Linked DNA regions of Oryza sativa Japonica Group. The protein of the gene in region 2 binds, or shares a complex with, the protein of the main gene of each other region. Links are inferred from orthologs where the notes say so. Each region holds a gene or a part of one and is shown on either strand. Other genes may lie near its edges.

Region 1 (6,017 bases), on a different chromosome or scaffold from region 2:
TTTTGGTGGAATTATCTCCAGAAGTTTCTTAACACGCTCTTCACAAGAATCGATTTCCTCTTTCTGATTGTAGAGAGCATAAAGTTAATACAGAGTACAGAGTGGCATTTCCTTAATCCTGATTCATTGTCTGTACTAGCCACTATAACCCAGTTGTATCAGGCAGGCAGTTGGTATTAGTTGGCACTGTTATACTAAAAACTAGCACTGCCAAGCAACTTCATACGGTTTGGACAATTTGTGCAATCAGTGTTTGTTAATACTTACATGCCCAGTAGCACACGCTGTGAGAAGTATGCTAATAAGTGATAATAATCGGTTCAACTAAAATGGGAATAGCTATCACAGACTACTTACGATCTCACATAGCATGCACAGAAAAAGGAGCTGATGGTTTCATGAGAACTAATGCTAGCTTTGCCACATTTGCTGTTGTGACTATCACAAACTCAAGAGCAATCATGTAGTAATAGGTGAATACTAAAAATTTGGTAACAGCACAATTTCAGATGCTCAAGTCTAAGTTCAACTGTCCATGGAAAACAATCAGAGAAGTCATTTAGTGGACTAACCATGCTCCCAGTTGGACCTTCTTTGTCAGTCTTTCCAGGTGCCTTGAGAAAGTCGAAGAATATGAGGCACTGGACAAGGATGTGGCGTCGAAAACTTGGGTCCTTCAACTGCAAAGAAGCAATTGCCATATGAGTCTATGAACAGTGAACAATAATAAAAAGTTAGTATCAGCTGATCAAAAAGTTCTTACCTCCAAACCCATCAATTTACTACTTGTCAGGTACTTAATATTGAAAGCAGCATCTTCCTCTTGGTCAAGATTGTTAAGTTTTCCATCATCGTCACTGAGAGGCTGAGCTTCAAATGTGCTTAGCACAACCTGCACTTTCATTAACAGTAAACATCAACGAGAAGTTCAGAATTAACATTTTGCATTGGGAAAGAAAAAGGTTCATGTAATTGTAAAAATGCGCAAAAGGATGTACCGTTAAATTGGACACAAACTTTTGCCATCTTGTCAGATTTGCAGCAGTTAAAGCAGGGTTACTAAAATGCTCCTGGAACATAAATAAAAAGACAAATGAGCATGAGAAACAATATAATGTTTAAAAGTTAAGAAGCGTGTCAGGAATCAATTATGATTTTTGAATCCCACAGAATGACAGGGTACAAAGCAGCCACCTGCAGACTCCATAGGGTATTGTAGAAGTTGAAATCAACAGAAATTCCTGAGAAAAAAAAAGGCTTACATTAGGGAGTTCTATCCTTTTACGAGAACAGTTGACTGAAGAAATAAAAAATTGAATAAAGTCACACGAAAAACACACAACAAAAAAATAATAAATATTTTTTTTATCAGGATAGTCATACTCACCATCTGTAGCGTCTTTCTCGTACTTTGTTTCATTTGATGTGTTAAAAACCCCCTTGATATTGAGAGCTGATAAAATAGAAAAACAAGGAAAATGTAGTTATGCACTCCTTGCCAATAAGGGGCTGTCTAGGAGGGGACAGAGAGATGCAAAATATGCAAACCTGAACGTTCCGATAATGGGAAGAAATGTGCTAGAAACATGATAATACGTCCGCAGAATACCACATCATTTGCCTGTGGTATTTCAGAACAAAGGGTATCAATGCTAGTACAGAACACAACCTTATAGGCTGTCAAAACTCCGAGAAATGTAAAGAATATATTTGTTCAATACTCACTAAAGCAAAAGGACCACAACATCGCAATGTACAATACGATTTTTATGATATGTCCAATAGCTTGGTATTTTTACAGTAAATTTGTCATTACCAAAGATCTTACTGAACAGTGAGCACAGCAGTCAGCTTAGTACTTGATAAAACTGCTCAGCACAGAAAATAAGGAAAGCACAGAATGATTTCAATCTACAGACATTCGGACTACGACAAAGTAGATAGCAGAGTATGCATAAGAAAACAGATGAATCTAACCTTTGATAATCTTCGAAGTAGTTGGTTGCAAGTCCTTAGCATAACAAGCTTGCCACGCCCGAAAAGCTCTTGCTACAAACAACTCAATGAGGTAATCCCCATTAGCAAAGCAACTGCATACATCATATGTGCCTTACAAGCACCAATTTAACAAAATGTAGTACAAAAGACAAATTCTCAATTACCTTCCCCAAGACATCTTGTTTGCTCTCAATATATCCAAATACATCTTTGCAGTCTTTGATAGTTGACATTTCTGTCAGATCTTCTAACAGCTGGAATACCATACCTCCCTCAACATGCCCTCTTTCACAAAGGTAAAGCACGATATCTAACATGAAAAAAAAGAAGATCTCTCAAGAGAAAACAGATAAATCTCTAAATAGTGCTCAGGAACCAATGTGAGAAAGGAGCAGTAAAAAGGTTCCAACTAACCAAGAAGACGTGTTATCGGGCAATTATTTTCTTCATTATCCCCATATTGCATTATTCTTTTACCAGATTGAACTGCAGATGACTACAAATATAGATATGAAACGAAATCAGCAACAAGCATTAATCTATAGGGCTGCATGACAGGCAAGTAAGGATTGCACAATTTGAACAATAGAACTACCTATCGTTCAGGTACATGGTAAATACTTGCAGACGGTTATTAAACAGAAGATAGAAACTTAATGAAATGTATGGAGAAAGGAGAAGTTGCATTACGCTAACTTGTAAATGTGAGACAGTGACCCCAAAAAAAAAATCATCTACTACCACATTACTTTGTAATAGTGTTGTTACAGAGAACAAAGACTAGTGCAGGCACATGCGTGGTAAGGAAGCTTACTGCAAGTTCCTGCAGCAATTTGCGTAGAGCATTTTCTAAGGATTGGTTCTCCTCCAGAACCAACACTGTTTGCTTCTGCAAAAAATCAGATGAGCAACTAACTTAAAAACGTGTGTATGCACAAGACAACGCAAGGAACATCAAGTACAGTAATCCATCATCTATGAGAAAGCTACAAGCCTACAAGCATGGCTGACTGTGGTGCATTGTGTACCTGAGGTTTAATCGCATCCTGAACGGCCTGAAGGGCAAAAGCTTCAGGGGATTCAGTCCTAGACAGCGCATCCCGGAACACTCCCTGTGAACAAACGAGATTTCTCAAATCTACTGCACAACACAGAAATAATTCCGCGCAAATTGACAGAAAACCCTCGGTTCATGACATCCTCCCACACTGGCACCCCCGGGGGCATACTAGATAGGAGAGTGGACAACTCACGATGATGCGGTCGCGGTCGGTGTGGCTGGAGACGGCGGCGGAGGTGGCGGCGGCGAGCGCGGAGGAAGAGGAGGCCGGTGGCCGGTCCTTGCTGAGGAGGATGCGGAGCCCGGCGTTCGACGGCAGCGGCGGCGTGGGCTCCGCCATGGCGTGGTGGGTCAGAATGGAAGGGTAGGTTTCGGCACACTGGCTGGAGCCTCTCCCTCCCCGCTTCCAAGCTGGACTAGTATCCCACGGCGGCGGGCTCCGGCCTCCGGCGGCGCGCAGGCGACGGCGGATGCGGGGTTGAAGCCTCCTAGGGGATCGGGGAAGAAGGTGGGGTAGGGGATGCTGTCTTGTGGGCCGCGTTTAGGAATTACTGGGATTTTGGGTTGTTATTGGGCCGATCTATATCAGACGGGAATAAGTTCGCATTAGATCCCGTAATTTGCCACGAGGATAACACTTTGGTTGGGGTTGGAGAAGCTAGCCGGTGATAATCTAGATAAGCTTCTTCTATCTTCTAGTTCATTTTTAGATTTTACAACTATATCTTCTTAAAATCTGAGTGAAAATTTAGACTGTTTGTGAGAGCTTTTAAAAAAATCTCCAGTTGCCATAAACTTCCCCAAACATGCCTTGAATTCGTCCCGAACCGAAATACCAACGCTACAGCTCATCCTTCAACTCACAATACCGTATCAACTTTGGTCCCACGATAGTATGGTGGCTAATTTTAAGTTTTAACTGATGTGGGAAGTAGGACTCACGTGGACCTCACACAATAGCGACAACTCTTTGTCTCTCTTCCCTGTTCTCCAGGAGTACCGAGATCCAATCCTCATCGCCGCACCGCTCGTGCTGTCGGTGCTCTTGTTCGTCTCCATCCCGGTCCTCGCAGAATGCTTGAGCGCCTCCTCCCGCCCAAGAAGCTCCCCGGCCATCCCGGACAGCGACGAGTTTTAGCCTTTTAGGGGCTATTCAGATTGTAGCCGAAATAAACCTTACTAATTTTTGGCAATTTGGTAATATTGTCAAAATTTTGGCAGGATTTCTTATGCATTTACTAAAGTTTGGCAAGAATCTAAATGGATGCACATATTTAACAACTCTACCAAAAAAAAAAGTATAGTTTGAAAAGACATCAATCTGAACGAGCCCTTAAACTCGACGACAAATTAAGGACCTTAAATGAACTTATTTCTATCAGACGTCAACGATGTAGCCCAGCACATCCACACCATGCGTGTTCTTGCTGTCACCGCGGCCACATCCTCCTCCTCTAGAAGAGGGGATAAAGAACTTGATGATGGAGGAGAGATTCGCGGAGAAATCTACGTCTTGACCGGACTTCTCCCGTGGAAGTTTCTTTGCAATCAGTATACTAATGCAAGCGACGACGAGATCAACAATTTTCTTTTTTCGCCATGACATTATTATTCATACTCTCATCCAATAATGTCCAAGTCTGAAGCCTCGAGTAGCTAGTTCATGTGTCGTGATTATGGATTCAAGAACTAGCAGTGCAGACAAAATGGTCAGGTCAGTCTCACAGAAGACCAAAGATGTGCAATACTAACATTGTTTCAAACTACTACGTATTTCGTCACAAAATCTGCAGATACAATTTTTTGCAACAGCGGCACAATCTGGTTTGTGCGCTAAACATCATAGTACAAGTGTACAACCAAAGGGCATGTATCAATAACATGGATTGATTAAACTTATGCTCCGTTCATACTCAAACCAGCGACTTCATATGCCGACAGAGAGAATTGGGAACAGCATAAGCCAACAAATACTACAACAACTGGGAAACCATCTGATCATTATACAACCAAACCACAAAAGGTTTACCTAAAGTGTTTACAAAATGCAAGGTACACTGCGCTAAAGCTCCTAAATCATTGGAACAAACATAAAGTAGGGTAAATGCAGGACATGCAATTAATTTAGATCTCTGAGGGAGGTTTGACAGTATGAAAACCAAACCATCAACCACATGGCATACTGATGCAATGCAGTAAAGCCAATGAACTGGAATTGAGTTATTAGGAGTAAACCAAAATTATTAGAGCAGTTCAAGAGTACACACACTACAATCTCCAACATTCTGAGCAAAAGCATCCATGATAGGTAGAGGTGTAAGGGGAAAAAACAAAACCAAGAACAAGTGACAGAAGTCAGTTTCCAAACTAGTGTTTGGCACATTGGCTGTTGGTTACACATGTACAAAGCCATGGAGAAGTGTAGAGATTTAAAGCCTTCATCATAGGAGAAAAGGCCGATGGCATTCTGGATTAAGTAGCTTTTTGGTTGTTTTGATTCCTGTCTCGGTCCCCTGCTGCGTTTGGGTTTTGTAAATAACTCTTTATTTCTCTTAATACAAAAATGCACTCCTTGCGTATTCCCAAAAATACATCCGCCATGATATGCTAGTATCTGAATGGCCACTGAAGGATAAATAGTTCAGAAGTATCCTACACCATGTTAGCTTCAAATTTATCTTAAGATAACAAGCATTTAGGTGCCGCATATGCTGTCATAAGGTTTATTTTAAGCCATGAAACTACTGGCCAGCAAACATCATTCCAGTAACTTCCTACCAAAAATACTACTGGTACGTTAAACTCTACACAAATGGTAACCAAATGAATGAAGAAAACAACTCAATTTAGTGCCATATCGAATCTCTGAACCCAAAGAAACTGCGCCTAGCATCCTTTAGATAAAGACATCAAGACAAGTCTATTGTAAAATATGTTGGACAGTCACAGTCAAGGGTAT
Region 2 (5,401 bases):
ATAGAGGCACAAAAAATGATAAAAAAATAATCAGGAATTTCTGGAATAAAGCAATTATAATAAATCCCATCCAAAAAAAGAGCAACAAGGGATATCAAGGGTGCGTTCTTTTATGATGGTTGGGAACACTTCCCCCTAAAACGGAGCGACGAATTAACGCATGATTAATTAAATATTAGCTAAAAAACTTGAAAAATGGATTAATATGATTTTTAGAAACAACTTTCCTATATAACTTTTTTTTTGCAAAAAAAAGAGCACCATTTAGCAGTTTGGGAAGCATGCGCGCAGAAAACGATTGAGTAGAAGCTAGGAAAGGGGAGAAAAGAACACCGTAAGGTGAACTTCCAAAATCACTAGATATAGATTAACCCAATAAAAAGATCTCTGTTCCTTTGGAAAAATTAACTCCTAAAAAAGTTTGGTGGCATAGTTACAAACTTACAATCAATAATGATTGTGCTAATTCACAGAGACTAACATGAAAGAGTTCAAAATGTCCCCCTCTGGAAGGGAATTATTTGAGGGGTCCAGTGCATACCAACAGTATGAGATTATCATACACCTAGAAATGTCACTGCTAAGAGGGCAATTGTCAAAGTAAGAGCATCTAATGCACAACGAGCTAGTGAAGGGTGCCAATGCTAGAAGTTTGCATTTGCTAATCACAGGTTGTTGGTGTAAAAAAAATTGTGGGGATAAATGCAGTTAGGATTAAGCTGTAAGAAGATGTGGCATGGATCAGCTAGCTCCAAACCAGAGAAGTAAAAAAGGAACAAGGAGGAATAAATCATTTACTAAAATAAGTAAATAACAACAGTCGCCGGTCTAATGGAAGTAGTTACATCTCATGTTTCCAAAGAAAAACATTGTGTTTAACTGCAATGTTATATACATATTTTGAATAACTTTATCCCAAGTACTCCCCCCGATTCATATTATAAGTCACTTTGACTTTTTCCTAGTTAAACTTTTTTAAGTTTGACCAAGTTTATAGAAAAATTTAGCAACATCTAAAACACCAAATCAGTTTCATTAAACCTAACATTGAATATATTTTGGTAATATGTTTTGTTTCACTACTTTAAGTTTGACCAGAAAAAAAGACAAAGCTACTTATAATATGAAATGGAGGGAGTAGCAACTATATGCACTTGTTCATTCAAGATACCTGTTGGATAATTGTCCGAAGTACTGTCATTGGATTTGCATGGGCAAGTTTAGCCACCATGCGGCCAAGTTGCTTCAGATTTTCCTTAGCAAGCCGCTTTAAGAGCCTTCTGGTATCCAACTAATCAAAAAAATAAGGACAGTTAATTGACAGCTGAAGATAAAATTATAGGGGAAACATAAGAAAACTCAGTCATGGAATAAATAATCAACCTTTGCAGTTTGCCTTGCAGCAAGGACAATTGGGTTTTGTTCGGTATCCTTCTCCCATTCACCATATAAGCGATAACGGGTCTAAAAATGAGTGGCACAATTGTAAAACATTGTTTACAAATGAATTGGGCAAATAAACAAACTATGAACAATACTACGAACCTCATAAGGAAGAAGAGAAAGAACTCCCCATATCTCCATATCAACAGCAGGATTTGCAGGTATAAGCTGCAATGATGGTAGCAAGCACGATCCAAGTGCTTCTTCAATTCGCGAGTCTGGAGACATTACACCTGCTGTACGGATTGACTCTTTTGCTGACAGATGGTACGCTTTAAGTACTCTGCAAACCTGTAGTTAACATGGAGAATGCTACATTAGGTAAAACATGCAACAACTTGTTAATAGATACTCCAGGTGATACTGCATAATGGAAACATTTAATAATAGGATAGTTCGTTTGAATATGCAACAACTTGTCAATAGAACCCATTTGCACTATAAGCTACAAGACATTATAAATTATCTGTAGTAGTTAAGCAACAAGAACGGTGTTTTTTACTTATTGAATTATTACAACAATGCAAGCCAGAAAACAAAAATCTGGTCACAAGCCTCATGGCAACCATAAAACCATTGATTGGATAAAAGAACTCATGATAACTAGTTTACACAAATTTTAACAACACAAGACAAATAATACATGTGATAGGGGTATTAGAGAAAATCTCCAGTCAAAAACAGAAGCCGGAAGCATGTCATGTTCAAGCATGAACTGCTATGAGAATATTAGCAGAGAAAATAAACAACACTACCTTCTGAAATAATTGTGTGTTACGATGAAGGTATGGTCCACAAGCAGAAAGCATTTGGAAAAACTCTTTCGGCGGATCAACCGAAAAACTTTGTGAAGAGGAAGGTGATGTGTCCATCATATAAACAGGGTTACGAGGCATCTTATAATGTGTTTGGAAAATTATATCATAGACTGAAGAAATACTCCTTTCAATAAGTCTGCATGAACAAAAAAACAAAATTGAATAATATTAACCAGGGAATGTGTTGTAATACAAGGGCATATGTATCAAGCACCATCATATGCCCTGTTTGCAGAGAACTACAAGTAATGTTGAGGATGCTTGCATATGCAGAGAAAGTTGACAAACCTAAATAAACTATCACAAATTTCAACATGCTCAACAGGATTTAGGCGTGCAAGACGCTCAAAGAGGAGTTGTGCATGATCCCTGCCAAACAATGGTAGAATTCAGTTACCAAAAGTATAATAAGTACAAAAAAGGATAGATGTATTAACTGCTAAATGCAATTATATATTTAACCAAATAGCAAGCAGACAAAATAAATTGATGGAACACATGAACATTACCAATCATGAACTGACAGGAAACCAAGAAGAAGTCCAAGTTTCTGGTTCTTTTCAATCTCAGGGGCTCGCTCATCAATTATATCATTTTCCATCTCCAATGCTGTGTACAAATCAATAGTTATTTCTTGCTTCTCGTCATCCATAAGGTCCTTCCCAGTGGCAGCAAGATTTATTTTGCCTATATTACTAGCCTGGAATTAAGAAAGAGAGGGCTAAGTTCCAGAAATTGCAAAATACACCACAACCATTAAAGTGCTGAAGTACAAACAAACAAATCCTGATTATTTTCAATTACAGAACCATTTAACCTGATAGATTCTGAAATGACTTCACCGGAATGTATGAACAAATTTGCATGCTCAACTTGAAATTTTTCAGCTACAAAAAAATAAAGTTCCGCCATTCCACAACCAAAGTTGTTTTGCTACGTAAGGGTTACATCTTGTTAACAGAAGGTACCTATATTTAAAGATAAATACCCATACACCACAATAAAGCCAACATCTACATATCTGTCAATCCAAAATGTTACTTTCGATTTTATTCCCCACACATTCATTTTGCATATATCCTCTAATCCCTATATCCCCAGATCGTTTTTTTATCCTAATCCCAAAGGTTATGCATTATCATGGTGTTATTTCCTGCATATACAGAATCATGATTTACAACATTGTCTTTCTTCCTCTTTTAAAACAGTGGGATTTCATTTTGTTACATAGCAAAATTGCAAAATAAAAAGAAGGGGAGGGGGGGCTTGGTGTCGCACTATCAATTGAATTTGTACTTTTATCATTTCAAGTTTAAATCTGTAATGAGATGGCATACATACAACTCTCTTTCACAATGCCTGGATATAGCAAATATTTCCAAAAACATGAACTTCAGGAGGACAAAATGAATATTAACCTCATCGATTTTCCTCGTGACGAAGGAGTCAAAATGCTCAAATGCCTCATCATCATTTGGAAGTAAATGAGCATAGCTGCAATACAATTCAGATATAAGTCATGACTCATGAGAGTTGGAGTTGAAAGGCCATTCCCAAGTAGATATATTGTGGCAAAAAAAAGTCATGCTCATATAGTGTAGTAGGAATCAGGAACGTAAAAACAATCCATAACTAGAAACCATGATTGCACCAGTAGCCGCACTAATACATTATGAGCAATCATAATGATAAATTGATAACTTGAAACCATAATCAGTGTAACCTTTAACACACCAGTAGCTGTACTAATACATTTTGAGCAAAATCGATAATGGTAGAGTGCCACACAGAATCAGAGGAAATTAAAAAAATTCTTGTTATTAAAGAACAGGAGCCAATGTAAAGAGTTAACACTGAAGAAAAAGTAGAGTCCAAAGTTGGAGAGTAAATCCCAATACGAAGGCATTAATTACATGCATACATTAATTTACATGGACATAAACCTTATTAGAGGATGTATGTGTTTTTTTAAAAAAAAAAAGTGTGCTTAAAGCATAGTAGATATTTTTATAAAGAATACAAATTGCAGATTTTGTTTTGGGTGATGTCTAACATCACTGTAACCATCAGGAAGTCAAGGAGATTTAGTAAACTTACAGGCTATCAAGGTCAATAAAACCAGATTTGACCAACAAAGCTGCTATCCGGAAAAGCCCAGGTGGAACAGTGCTATTGACATCCAATCGTTGGTAATATTGGAACTTGAACCCCAATATTTGAGCAGCATGGGACTGCAATAAAAGGAAGTAGTAAAATAGGCTGAAATATTGTATGAAGTATGCTAATAATCTTTAGAGGAGGTTTACATTATTATATTAAAAGGAATATAACCATATGAAGTATGAAGTATACTCTATGAAGTATGATAAAGGAATACCTTAGGGAAAAGAGGTATAAGCTGACAAAAGATGGTATTATCCGGATAGAGCTCAAAACATTCCAGAACCTAGCAGAATACAAGAATAACATCACTACATGCTTTCGGTAACACGCTTTCACACAGTACAATGCATAACAAAAAAGTGGACAGCAAATCAAAACTCACAATATCAAACACACGATTTGGGTCCAGGTCAAAATGCCCAATCAATGACTGCCATAAAAAACATAATGTTATATCACAAAGATGCTCAAATGCTTAAATAACAGTACAGGAGGAAGAAAGGAATATTCTAGAGCACACCTTTATAATGCTCATAGTAACTGAAGAAGAATTTTGACAAGCCAAATCTGAACCAATTTGACAAAGGAGGGTTACCTGAACAATCCAGAAGCAAATATGATAAGAAGGTTAAAAACAACGGAACTTCAGTAAATCATCACAGAAATTAACTGAAGATGTGTCAAAAAAAATCCAGGTGTGCCTTCTAGTGGAACATGTGTCAAAAAAATTGCTGCAAAAGAATAGGGATACTGTGCTATCCACTATTTTCTGATCCAACTAGACTGTTTTAGATCAGTTACAAATTGAACATCAAAACAAACTAATTTATTTGTAGATACCTCATGAACTATAACCTGTATAACTAAGGTCAAACAATAATTAGGTCGTTTAAGGGAGTGTAGAAACTGGACACACACCAAACACAGTTTTCTAGATTCTGTTACTCCTTTCAAACAGCGTGCAGAAAATATAGTGG
Region 3 (5,951 bases), on a different chromosome or scaffold from region 2:
CATCAGTATAAGGCATTAAGAGAATTAGAGTTCAAAGCGAAGTCAAACAGCATATAGAGAACCTAATGATTATAGCATAAAGTTCAAAAGATAATGTAGTTACAATGAAATGTCATTGGCTGAGATGTGAGTTGATGTTGAACAAATGAGCGAAGACAGAAAAAATCATCACCTATCAAGGGGATCCATTCCAATGCAATAACAACCCGCTGTATGAGCATTCAATTTGCCAACCACATGAAGGGTGTCATCAAGGGAAGGATCACCAAATACCTCAACATTTCCTACATAAACAGCAAACAATGTAATTACACTGATACCAACTGGTGTGATATTGAAACTTAAAACAACATATGGGTTTTGTATCTTACCAAGTCCAGTAGTGATGAAGAATAAATCTCCAGTTTTGTTCCATGCAATCTCATTTATCTGAGGAACAACAAATCAATAATTTACTTCAGAAAAGTTAACTGATCTGAGGAGCTATATGATTCATTTTTATCAGTAGCAGGTGTACGGGCATTTAGCTAGTTGAAATAGAAAATTTACAAAACTGCAACATAAGTAATGCAGCAAATGAAATTAAAGTACATCGAATAGTTAGGTAATTCACACTCAGTAGTCAGTACTAATTCAAATACCAGCAGGCAATTTTCCTGTTCCAGACAAAGATGCACATGCTGCCGACTTATGCCCACTCTACTTTTTCTCAAAAGGTATATGACTATATGTGCATGTTCATTCAGAGCAGCGAAAGATTCCAAAAGGAAGAAGAAAATTGCTAGAAGAATGTTTCAACAATTCAAACCTTCAAGTGGAAAGTACCTCATAATTAAACTTAAATTTGTGAAGGGCTTTTAGCTTCCGAACATCCACTATTGTCAACTCATCCTCCTGCAAATCATAGTGACAGCTGTTACTACACTTGTACAATTTTATAAAACTAGAACTCACAAAGTAAACACATTGGTGTACGCGGGACCTTGCGAACTAACTTGTAAACTTTATAAAAATAGGTTTACTACAATTATTATAAAATTTACACACCACTCCCCAGTCCCCATGCTCAATAACACTTTACTAACTTTGCATAGCAAAAAAAGTAAATAATTCCATCTAATTTAGGATCAATATGTATATATTCAAGTGTGTCCATACTGAGCTATGTTGTATTGATACTTATACAGAGAGCATGTCAAACACAAGAATGAACATTGCAATTTAGATGCTAATTTGCCAAATAACTCATCACTCAATCTAATATAAATCAGATTATAGTTACACATTTCTCTTTGGAAAGAATTTTATAAATTCCTTTCAAAATATTGTAACCCTCTTCTGGCATGATATATGCAAATCAAAACCAGTTCCTTAGTCATAAATGACTACCGTTCTTGAAGTTAACAGGGATAACAGCCTAGGCAATACATACCTTGTTTCCAACAGCTATTTGAGTACCACCATGTTTATAAGTGATATTGATGTTTTCTCCACTAAGTTCGACGACTTGACATTTTCCACCTGGAAAAGAACACGTCAAACAGTTTGAGAAATAGCGGGTCAAATAAATAATATAATTTTAAAAGGCAAACTGCAGGCCCAAATCTTGTAGAGTTATAAATAGAGAATCAAAAGTATGATGTACAATCCTATGAAAAAAATCGAAGTACAACTAAAAAAATTCTGAAACTAACTTTCAGGTAGAGTCACTACACAAAAGAATAAGACATCTTGTCTGGTAACAACAAGTTCATTGTAAATGGAACATAGGGATTGAACAAAGTGACAAAAAGGGATTCATCAATTTCAGAGAGAAGCTGAGAATGCTGAACACAACTGTGGATATCTTAGTTCTTTAACCTTCAAAGATGAAGGGAACCACTTACTCCGTGCATCCCAGAGGCGAATTGACTTGTCAGCAGCTGCTGTAGCAACTGTATCAGGATGCTTCGGATCCCAGCAGAGCTGATCTACACAATCTGTGTGGCCTTTCAATTCAATGTCTTTAACCTTGGACTGTGCAATATAAAAACCCTAATCAGCACAGTACTGACTTGGTACTTCCAGGGAAATAGAAACCATCTGGGGTTTTTTCCCCTCCTACGTTCCAACCAAAAATGTCTTAGTGTTCTCAAAACAATATAATTTAGCTTAGAATTTATTTTCCTCAAAACCGCAGGAGGGCTGCGCTTCCTTTCATTAAGAAGAAGAAATAAGTACAACTGAGGGATCCAAAAGAACCCCTAGCTAAGAAATCATTCACAATTTCACATTAAATAGCTCAAACATATGTCTCAGAGACACAGGCTATGGTATGCTTAAGTGTGATTACTGTCTGAGTTTCTATAATTTTAAATTATACAGCGGGAGATATTTCCAATTAATCATCATGCTTATCTTTCAAATTTATAGAAATGTTCATAAAAAAAGGGTGACAGTTATTCATAGTGAATGACAATAAATGCGTTTATCTAATAATTCCATAATAACAATGAAGGTTATTTTGTTTGCAATCAGGAAAGGAGAGAATGTTTACATGGCCATGGGGATCGATACTCCATACACGTGCAGTATGATCAATAGAGCCTGAAGCAAGCTTCATGCCTAGGCAGTTCCATGCTACAGAGTGCACCTAACAGTAAAACAAAAGATCAGAATTATACAAAATTTAAGGCTGATTATGTATGTAAGATAGATAAAAAAGAAGGCAAAAAGCGACAGAACCAGTTAAATGCTGCACCTCCATGTGTGGAAGGATTATTTAGAAAAACAAGAAACAGAATTCAAGAAAGAAACAGAGAAATATCGTTGTACTATGATTCTTTCTGCAAGTAAGATTTTTTTTTCCCTTTGAATTCTTCCCCTCAGAGGAGTAGCAACTTTACAAAGTCAGACAAGAAGTCCCTTTTCGTGAAACCAAATTCCTTCAAAAATTAGGAGTAATTATGACCAGGAATCATATTTGACAATGCGCTCATTCACCAGCTCCCAGAAGGAAAGCAACCAACCAAAGCTTCATTCAATCTCAACATGGCTTAGCCCTAGAGCAAAAGAATCAGCATATATACGGCATGAACGCGAGGAATCAATCACTATATCCTGCTCTAGAATTAGAAACAAAACCGTACGTGTGAACCAAAGATGGATGCATTTTCGTCCTAATTTTTGCTTGTAACATCCGGATTTTAGGGCTTCCCCCTCGCAGGACTTTTGAGGGTTTAGGACCTCATGAGAAAAAAACTTATCCCCGCGTAGGATTGGTGAGGGGGGAATCGAAAAGGTTACCTTCTTCTTGTGGCCGAAATACTCCCTCGACACCAGGTTCTTCAGGTTCATCCCCGGCGTCGAGCTTCCGCCACCGCCGCCCCGCCGTCTGTCGTCTTCTTTCCCCTCCATTGTCCCCGCGGACTGGGGCACGGGTCTGGTTTTGCTATTCCCCACTCACCGCGTCACGAGGCGCAAGGCGGCGGCGGCGGTGGCGGTGGCGGCGGCGGCGGGCGCGAGACGGAGGAGGGAGAGCCGGGGACGGCGTCGGCGGGGAAGAGGAGAGGGTTTTCGCAGAAACGTCCTTCTACTTTTTTGTTTATTCATGCCACAAGTTCATGCGTTATCCTTACCATGGAGCCATGGACACATCCTTTGGTTTTTGTTTAATTGAATCCATGCCATTGTAAATATACCGATAAATGTTATTACAATTCGTCTTTTTTAATTGTGACATTGAAATTTTATAAAATTAGAACCATGCCACTATAGTAATATTTTCCATCCATCTTCGTCTTCTTAGATTCATCTTTCCCCTCTTTTTTTTTCTCATCTCTCTCCACCACCTCTTTGGAGGGGACAGCCGCTGCGGCTGTTGGCAACTTTTTGTGACAAGTCGACAATTACGATCGCAGCACCTAAACGCCTTGCGGTGATATGGAGTCGCCAACCACCTCGATCTAGCCAAACGGCCAAATCAAGATGGGTTTTGTAGAAAAACAGCTAAACCGGCTAGCGGAGCCGATTTAGAGATCAAAAATCAGCCTCTAAGCCGATTTAGATCGATATGAGGATAACTAACCTGTCTCATAGGCAATACGGAAGGTTTTCAGGACAAATCTACAAAGAGGTGTCGCACTCTCGCAGCGGCGGCGGACGGTTTACGGCGCAAACCGACAAAGATGGATTAAAACTAGGGTAAAATAGAAAACATGGTAAAAGAACGATTCAAGTAAATTGTATTCGGGGGTTTTACAATGAACCGGCCTTGTCCCTTAAATAGGGGTTGGTCTTACCCTCTACAGGCCCTTCTCCATATCCAACTCGGGATAGAAACCAAAGGAAACACGAAACCTACCTTCCCAGGCAAGGAAACCCGAGACCCGACGAAAACAAACTCGGACTCGGACCCTGACGGTTTGACCGCCCACATACCTGCGGTCAGACCGGCCCTACTAGACGGTCAGACCGCCCACACACCTGTGGTCTAACCGGCCCTGTGAAGGAAACCCGTCACTTTCCAAACTTTGGCAATTTTCCTCTATTTCGTCCATAGGTGCCAAATTTGGGTGTAAACACATGCCCCCCTGCCTTTTTTGTAAACATACGTGAACCTAAAAGCATAGAACATGTTATGTCAGGGTGATAATCCAATTACCGCCCATAGGACTTCCTAAGCATCTTGCCAAATGCTCGGGAAATATTTCTTCAAGTATTTCCCATTAATTGCTCTCTGAAAACACCGTCTTGAAGTGTCTTCATCTCCTTCAAAGTCTTTAAACGCTTGTCGATGACGTCTTTAAAATTGTTTCCCATCAAGGTCTTGTAATCTTCAACCGACAAGTCGTCTTGCTTGAAATACCGAAGAGAGCCAAGATTTACCCCAACTGGCAAAACGACAATTTCAACAATGTTTTATTACTCAACTCGGCTTATCCATTAGCCTGAGCGTAGTAAAGAGAAGAACTCATCAACTTAATAGCATAAGATTCGGCAAAACTTCTCACTCCGTACAAGTAATATTCTCGAGCGGCACGGCTTCGGCCCACTTAGTGAAGTAATCCATTGCAACTAGCACGAACCAACGCCCTTTTGATGACGAAGGATAAATTTGACCAATGAAATCCAAAGCTCAACCTCAGAACGGCCATACTTTAATGATAGGATTCAACACAGCGGTAGGCGCTAATTGAACATTGCCGATCCGTTAACAAGCTTCACTCCCTCTATAACATTTGAAACAATCATCAATTATTTTCGGCCAATGAAACCACACTCTCCTAAGCAACCAATTTATCTTACGGGCCGATTGATGAATTTCACAAATCCCTTCATGTACTACTCTCCTAGCAACTTTAAACTGATCATTATCTAAGTAATACTCCATCTATTTTTCGGCGATATAATATTTGAGCGCTTGCCGCCGAATCTTCTGATCAACCTTAAGTGTAGGATCTTCAAATATCTAATCGAAGGAATTCTCCAAGCTATTTCTAACTCATGGGCACAAATGTCCGAATTCACAATTAATTCGGCCTTTTAATCAATTGTAACGTGCCCCCCAGCTCTCGGCCCGCTATCGGTCAGACCGGCCACGCAATGCCGGTCAGACCACCCTGTCTGTCCGGTCAGACCGGCCATGTAGAGCCGGTCAGACCGGCCGTGCAATGCCGGTTAGACCATCCTAGGTCTATGACTTTGCCAATTTCGTCCAAACTTTTGAAATCAAGCATCGGCCTTTAGTATATAATTTTTCTTCACATAATAGCCAAATGCTTGGTGTATCAAATTATTGGACCAAAATTCCTTCTCTCTAGATATATGAAAAATTATAACATTCAACTAATATGTCTAGATGAATACTAATTCAATTGGCTTTTGAAACAATAATCATCATGGCATCACAACACTTAGCCAATTGAAGTATGATCAATAATGAATCACCAAAGTCATATGTGCCACATGCA

The links. Proteins that work in one complex are often made in the same cells at the same time.
Region 1: THO complex subunit 2 (region 2) and THO complex subunit 1 share a complex: the UniProt entries of both Arabidopsis thaliana proteins name them as parts of the THO complex. The link is inferred for Oryza sativa Japonica Group from reciprocal best matches to the Arabidopsis thaliana genes THO2 and THO1.
Region 3: THO complex subunit 2 (region 2) and THO complex subunit 3 share a complex: the UniProt entries of both Arabidopsis thaliana proteins name them as parts of the THO complex. The link is inferred for Oryza sativa Japonica Group from reciprocal best matches to the Arabidopsis thaliana genes THO2 and TEX1.

Annotation. Positions count from the first base shown.
Region 1 is NC_089037.1:607,560-613,576, reverse strand, and holds the start of THO complex subunit 1, read right to left. Parts: upstream 3,574-6,017; 5' UTR 3,399-3,573; coding exon 3,252-3,398; intron 3,111-3,251; coding exon 3,027-3,110; intron 2,888-3,026; coding exon 2,813-2,887; intron 2,495-2,812; coding exon 2,413-2,494; intron 2,309-2,412; coding exon 2,163-2,308; intron 2,050-2,162; coding exon 1,978-2,049; intron 1,622-1,977; coding exon 1,549-1,621; intron 1,454-1,548; coding exon 1,388-1,453; intron 1,242-1,387; coding exon 1,195-1,241; intron 1,071-1,194; coding exon 999-1,070; intron 893-998; coding exon 764-892; intron 681-763; coding exon 573-680; intron 64-572; coding exon 1-63. UniProt on the Arabidopsis thaliana protein: Acts as a component of the THO subcomplex of the TREX complex which is thought to couple mRNA transcription, processing and nuclear export. Contributes to the integrity of the endogenous trans-acting small interfering RNA (ta-siRNA) pathway.
Region 2 is NC_089035.1:40,603,023-40,608,423, forward strand, and holds part of THO complex subunit 2, read right to left. Parts: intron 5,020-5,401; coding exon 4,945-5,019; intron 4,855-4,944; coding exon 4,807-4,854; intron 4,708-4,806; coding exon 4,639-4,707; intron 4,493-4,638; coding exon 4,359-4,492; intron 3,756-4,358; coding exon 3,680-3,755; intron 2,962-3,679; coding exon 2,771-2,961; intron 2,631-2,770; coding exon 2,550-2,630; intron 2,398-2,549; coding exon 2,199-2,397; intron 1,735-2,198; coding exon 1,546-1,734; intron 1,465-1,545; coding exon 1,384-1,464; intron 1,292-1,383; coding exon 1,172-1,291; intron 1-1,171. UniProt on the Arabidopsis thaliana protein: Acts as a component of the THO subcomplex of the TREX complex which is thought to couple mRNA transcription, processing and nuclear export.
Region 3 is NC_089043.1:11,600,036-11,605,986, reverse strand, and holds the start of THO complex subunit 3, read right to left. Parts: upstream 3,574-5,951; 5' UTR 3,397-3,573; coding exon 3,286-3,396; intron 2,633-3,285; coding exon 2,537-2,632; intron 2,017-2,536; coding exon 1,887-2,016; intron 1,522-1,886; coding exon 1,433-1,521; intron 895-1,432; coding exon 826-894; intron 430-825; coding exon 372-429; intron 285-371; coding exon 173-284; intron 1-172. UniProt on the Arabidopsis thaliana protein: Acts as a component of the THO subcomplex of the TREX complex which is thought to couple mRNA transcription, processing and nuclear export. Contributes to the integrity of the endogenous trans-acting small interfering RNA (ta-siRNA) pathway.